2 linked regions of the Tribolium castaneum genome follow. The main gene of each other region encodes a partner of the protein of the gene in region 2 in a complex. Links are inferred from orthologs where the notes say so. Each region holds a gene or a part of one and is shown on either strand. Other genes may lie near its edges. The genes, in order: Coq7; ubiquinone biosynthesis protein COQ4 homolog, mitochondrial.

Region 1 (2,746 bases), on a different chromosome or scaffold from region 2:
GCTTTTTATCCGAACTTTGTACTGAGTTGCGTTTTTAAATTGTGGATATTTGTCGTGGTGATTTCTTTTTAAAGGATCAATAGCGATCCATTCAATTTTTTCCCCTTTGTGGTCTTCAATGAAGCATTTCTTGTTCATTACGTCTTTGTACGTTCCCACAGGATACGTTTTATATGGTACATATGGCAAATCAGTTGGAGGGATAAGTATAAAGTCTTTGAAACCATCTATCACGCAATAAATGTTCTCATAAGGGTCTTTATGCACTAAAAATTTTTGCTGGCTTTTACAATAATTTTTAAAATATTCCAAGCACTTACTACTAGTAATAGCACGTGCATCACCCATCCAAAAATTCACAGCATCTGGAGTTTTGTCAAAAGCCTTAGAAGCCCAAGGAATTTCAGACTGGACGTCGCACATTAACTCACTAAAGTCTTCAGTCAAATTCGAGTTTTGTTTCTGAATGTAGCAAATGTATTGCTTACTGAAACATTTTTAAATAAATGACTATAAAAATTAAAAAAATATATTGGCAAAACTGCTACTGAATTTTGAACGACGTTTACCAACCTGACAACAAGGATAACCCGACACTTTAAAACCTACTTGACGATTTCAAATAATTTAATTTAACTGACCTGACATCGTCCATTTTTTTAATAAACTCCCTCATCGGCATTTTGATTTCTTCCGGCATTACAAAATAATGAACTTTGCCTTTTTCTGTGGTTTTTGTGGCCAAACCATCCGCATACCCATTAGGGGTAACGGCAACTGTCACCTCTTTATTTGGAATGGCCTCCCTACAATAAAACCCTTGCAAAACATGTCTAGATGTTTAAATTATTTTACAAAAAAAATCGTGAATTCCATTTTGATACTGCTGGAAAATGTTTACAACCGCCTCTTATCACGACTGGATAATTTTTGGCCACAAAGTTTCGATAAAAACGCAACGGCCAATCAGCCTTCAAAGTCTCATTAACATTAATCACGGGAACTTCGGGGCACACATGTATCAATTCTAAAATAATAATAAAAACAAAAACCGAGGTTATGTCATAATTTTTTCCAAATTTGTGAAATTTACACCGGGACAGTACCTAAAACATGTCAATTATTACCTGAGGTCTCAGTTTTCAAAACCTCCAACGCCTCTGCAACTTTATTATCGGTCTTATCACACATAATTTTGAGCTTCTCCTGCCAAAAAAGTGAGGTTCTGTTTCAAGCCGCCTGTTTACAACGCAATAATGCTCGCATTTCGCCCCCAAAGCGCCCCTTTGAGGCTCCTCACGCGCTCGGTATCCTCAAAATGCAAGATCGAGGAAATAATTCGTGTCGATCATGCCGGTGAATTGGGGGCTGATGTGATATACGCCGGTCAAATGGCAGTGTTAGGGAGCACCTCCAAAGGCCCCATCATCAAACACATGTGGGACCAGGAAAAGGGCCATAGGGCCAAATTTGAGGAATTGATAAGAAAACATCGCGTCAGGCCCACTGTAATGACTCCAATTTGGAAAGTGGCTGGGTTTGCTCTGGGGGCAGGGACTGCCCTTTTGGGGGACAAAGCAGCGATGGCGTGCACTGTGGCTGTCGAGACGGTTATTGTGGATCATTATAACGATCAGCTAAGGGAGCTGATGGAGGATCCTGAGGCGAATAAAGAGTTGTTGGAAACTATTACGAGGTTTAGGGATGAGGAGCAGGAACACCATGATTGTGGGATTGATCATGGGGCTGAGCAGGCGCCCTTTTATAAGGCTCTGACTGAGGCGATCAAGTTGGGGTGCAAGGGGGCCATAGCCATCTCCAAAGTCATTTAAACTGTCTCAGTGTATTTATTATTGTAAATAAATGTCTGTGACTTTACTTTTTAAATAAAGATACTATTTCAAGTTAATTGTTCTGTTATCATTCACCTCCTGAACAATAAAAATACGAAAAAAAAAACAAAAATTGGAAAGGTCAAACTATTATTTTTTTCTAAAACAGCGTAAATTGAGTTAAATTTTGTATTTTGAGAGGCTTTTTTGAGTAAGGTTTGCATACACACACATTAGTATTCTTGGTTGCATAAGCAAAAACAAATAATACTTTTGCAACTCTTTTTTTAAATTACTTAATTAAATTACAAAGACGCGCCGAATTACAGCGTTATAATAGCACGTTTTGAAGTGAAATTGTGCTGAATATTTTAGGCTTTGAATTGCGTCAAGCCTTCAAAGTTCCACTTGAAAACCATTAGCTCTATTAACAAATTATTCTGCCTGTAATTATGGTGTATATCTCTTTTACGAGCAGAAGCAACACATTTAAAATTTTGAGTTATTGTGAAAACGTTAAAAAGTAAAAATAATTTTTTACAACTCATTGTTTGCGCTTAGAAATGTTTAATTTTATGCTTACTTCAATGAAATATGTATCATAAAAACTGATAATAAATAATTTCAAATAAACGACAAACTCCGCAAACCATTTGCTTGCGGTTTTTTATTCTTTTAGTCCATTCATTCTATGGTAATAAATGTGTACTTATACTTTAAAAAATATTCAGTGATCACAGCTTATTTGTAATTGTAATCTTGGATGGAGCAGACATAGGGTGCATGAATGAATAAAACCGAAAATTTTATTTCTATTTACAATTTGATGATTTAATGAGTTTGCTATAAATAGCATCAAGCTTACTACACCACCGACGTTCGTGTAGTAGAATAATTCTGTTATGAATATCGCT
Region 2 (3,937 bases):
TAAGGCAGTTTTGTGAGAACCTTCAATTAAAATTAATTAACCAAATTACAGTAATTGTGATTAGTTTATACCTTTCTGTGGCTTATTAACATCTGGAGCTTTAGTTAATTTGCGAATATCATCTTCGCTAAAGCCCGAAAATGACATAATAATGACTTTTTTCCTTTTCAAAATGACACATTTAGGTTATTTGACAACACAGCAAACTGTCAAAATTAAATGGAAGGGAGAGTGCATTAAACTTGTGCTTAAGCTATGATTTAAGTCGCACATGCGCAAACCCACTCACGATTTCCGTAAATTATTAAGCATCAAAGAATTCGAGGTAAATATAATAACGTCATAAGCAAGGATAATCATTTATTAATAAACTACACAACTATTATTCAACGCAAATAAATAATTAACTCCTAGTTTGTGGTAAAATAAACGGTTTGATGTTTAATTCTTGGTGTAATTCAGCCAATGGTTGTTCCCACCGTTTTTCAAAAAATGTATTTAGCAAAAAATTACTACTATTTGCTGTTTCAATTGCCCATGGAAGATAATACTTTTTATACAAGTTGCGATGCCTAAAATAATGTGTTGACAAAAATTATTTTAAAAAATTACTCACTTTGGTTTTAGTCGAATTGGGCCAAAAATAGCCGCTCCAATGCACATTGGAAGCCTTGTTTGAATCGCTTCGTACCATTTAACAGTTACTTCACCTATAATTAATTTTATTTGAACCCTAACTATTTTTTTTTGTATTTTTTTTAATAATTTAAATTGAAAAATCTAAAGCTGGAAAATGCCAAAAATCTCGTAATTTAAAAAATTCCTAGATTAGAGTTAATTCAACTCATAATTTAATCTGTTCTAATCTACTTAAACAGAAGTGTTTTTGAATGGTCATATTCATAATAAATGTTCTTTATTTTATCTTAAAATATCTTATCTGAAAAAGGATAATTCTGCCATAGATAATAACTCTACTTTACACAATAATGAAAGTTTAATTTCTGCTATTTTTGGGGCACTGAGTTCAAAAAAATATATATATAAAATTCCACAACGTCAAGTCACCCAAAAATGCTCCCAAATTCCGAGCAACACTTTAGACCTTCAGATTTTGTAAATTTATCGTTAATTTTAATTAACTTAATTTAGCGATAATTATGCAAATATCTTCTGCATTGTTTCAACAAAACCTTTAGAAATTAGTGAATTTCTCGCCAAAAAAAGCAACGCATTTTATTTACAAATTTTGCGTCAGAAATTGTCTTAAATTTTTAGAGAGTAATGTGTTAATCTTGCAATTTTTTACTTTTGTTCGACAAAGTCTTTCGGATTCAAAGGAAATTCTCGTCAAAAAACTTTCTAAATCAATTAAAACCAGCTCAAAAAACACATTTTATAGTTAATTTTATGATTTTTTGTAAAAATATTTTTGTTTTGGAAAAAGTCACTTTCACTGAAAAATGTTCCTAAATAAACAAAAATAGTGCATTCGATTTTCTGCCCTGTTTTGGCAAAATACTTCTAATTAATTTAGTAAGTCACTAAAAAGTTTCCTAAATTAATAAAAAAATTCAGACCTAATTTACCTGTATTTCTACAATGTTTTGACAAATTCTCAAATTTTTTTTGATAAAAAGTTTCTATAATTCTCTGTTAAATATTAAAACCATCAATTCATGGAAAGTAATACATTTCTGTTAATAATTTTACAACATTCTATTTAGTTTTTCCAGTTTTTTTCGAAATTAGCAGTAAATTTAATTTTGGAATTCGTTAATAATTCATTGACTTTCCCAATTCTGCAGCAGATGACACATTATCTACTTTAACGATTTTCTATTTGTTTTAGTTAAAGTTTTCAGTTTTTTTTTAATTAAGAATCTGGCATAAAACTAATTTAGTCAGAATCTACTTAAACAGAATTATTTTTGTGGACTCACATTTGTAATAATTGTCTTATCTTATCTTAAGCAAGTTTAATTCTACCACTGAGAATAGAAAAATGCCAAATTAATGGAAAAAAGACACGTGTCAGAAGCAACAAAACCAACTATGTAATTATTATTTATCTCAGTTATTCGCATAAACAACCTTCGTGTCTGATTGCGATGTAATCATCGAATTTTGATGACCTAAGCATTAATTCACTTCTCTCACCTAACATATTTGTGGGCATTTCCAAAACGGCATGAAATAAATCATGCGCTTCTCTATAGCGTTGCAAAACGTACGCACAATCAATGTCATCGACAAATTGAACAGCCATACGTGAATCGGGCGTAACATTCTACAAACAAATCTCACCGAAAAAATAAAAACACCCTAAAATAATTAATACATTATCATCGAGCCATTTAACATAAACACGACCGAGGGTTCCCTCAGGAAATGTCCTTAATTTGTTTAAATCGACAGTTTTTGAGTTGATCCTCGGACGTGATTTGAGAATTTCGGCGCCTTCTGGTGAACTCTCCATTTTTTGCTTCATGTAAGTGATGGCGGACATTCCTAACAATTACTTAAGTGTGTTAAATACGAGGTAATTAAAATTACCTGCAGTCTCTCCCAAACAGGCGATCATGTCATGCCGAAATGGATCGACTAATGACATCAAAGCCGATCCCATAGCGAGAAGTCCCCGTTGAAAGTCATTGATCGGAATGTGATTTTTGTGAAAATCGCTTTCGAATTTATCAAAATTCGTGCTTATTTGGCGACTTAATTTCAAATTGTTACGCAATCGGAGCATCTGGAATTGATCAAGGGCCCACAATGAAACGAGACAATTAAAATAAATTGTGTCTATTTATTATAATATTATCGACATTAAAATCACAGGATTATCGACATTGCAACGGAATTTGGTACATTGTGTTATTAATGAGATAAAACTTTGGTAATATTTTATAATAAATTTAAACTAGTCGTAACTAAATAATCAGTACACGATTGATGGCACTAAATAATAGGGTCTCCAGTCAACGGAAGCTTAAATTTGAGTCCTTTTAAACACACTATCGGTATTTATAGGCGCAATAAATAAATAATTACTGACGCAAGACCGTAAAATAGTTTTTAGATAAAATGTGCTTTAACTAATCCAAGGTGATATTTTGAAATTAAAACTAAAAGTTATGGAAACAACTGGCAAATGTAAATTGTACAGTCTAGTAAATGTAAACAGAATCACCAAATGTTTATTTAAAAAAAATAACCATACGAAATACCATGCCTTCAATTAAATTTCTAATCTGTTAGAATTTAGAAAATAAAATTCGTTATTCTATTTTTTCAGTCTGAACATGCAATTTTTTTATTGCAGTGAAACCTCATTACAACAGATTTCGAAAACTACGATGAATTCAATTTCACATGTGACGCAAAATTTAAGTTTATTTTTTTGTTACTTTGTTTAATAATTCGTACTATTGTGAGACTTTTTCTTAGAATTTTTCTAAACTTTGATTTATTAAATATTTTAATCTTTAACTATAGAAAAACACCGACTCAACGAACCTAAATTACTAGAATTTAAATAAATTCACTAATTTTGTATAATTTAATTTAAAAACTATGTTTATAAACACTATTGCGTTTTTGAAAAATGTCTTGAATTTAGAAAAAAAATTAGAAAATTAGAATTATATTATATTGACATGTTCTATTTTCTTGTAAACATTGTTAACATAAATTCAAAAACACGAAATATGTATACTTTGAAGGCATGGTTCTGTCAGACGTAACTTTATCCACATGCACAATAATATAGTTGTTTATATTGTACCTGGATATATCCGTAATTTAAAACCACTGTATTATGTCAAAGTGACCAAGTGTTGCAACATTATTTAATAAAATAATCTTTTCCTTATTACAATTCAAAACACTCCAAAAGTAAAGTTTTTTAACCGTGAAAAATACTTCAAAGTTCCAA

Evidence for each region.
Region 1: ubiquinone biosynthesis protein COQ4 homolog, mitochondrial (region 2) and Coq7 share a complex: the UniProt entries of both Caenorhabditis elegans proteins name them as parts of the multi-subunit COQ enzyme complex. The link is inferred for Tribolium castaneum from reciprocal best matches to the Caenorhabditis elegans genes coq-4 and clk-1.

The regions. Positions count from the first base shown.
Region 1 is NC_087398.1:2,222,096-2,224,841, reverse strand, and holds Coq7 (5-demethoxyubiquinone hydroxylase, mitochondrial), read left to right. Parts: upstream 1-1,256; coding exon 1,257-1,832; 3' UTR 1,833-1,909; downstream 1,910-2,746. Other genes in the region: bifunctional peptidase and (3S)-lysyl hydroxylase JMJD7, read right to left, coding at 1-266, 321-487, 642-806, 856-1,027, 1,128-1,191. UniProt on the Caenorhabditis elegans protein: Catalyzes the hydroxylation of the 5-methoxy-2-methyl-3-(all-trans-polyprenyl)benzoquinone at the C6 position and participates in the biosynthesis of ubiquinone.
Region 2 is NC_087394.1:37,003,246-37,007,182, forward strand, and holds the end of ubiquinone biosynthesis protein COQ4 homolog, mitochondrial, read right to left. Parts: intron 2,709-3,937; coding exon 2,557-2,708; intron 2,512-2,556; coding exon 2,342-2,511; intron 2,291-2,341; coding exon 2,161-2,290; intron 711-2,160; coding exon 617-710; intron 573-616; coding exon 404-572; 3' UTR 348-403; downstream 1-347. Other genes in the region: Gorab (RAB6-interacting golgin), read right to left, coding at 1-20, 72-147. UniProt on the Caenorhabditis elegans protein: Lyase that catalyzes the C1-decarboxylation of 4-hydroxy-3-methoxy-5-(all-trans-polyprenyl)benzoic acid into 2-methoxy-6-(all-trans-polyprenyl)phenol during ubiquinone biosynthesis.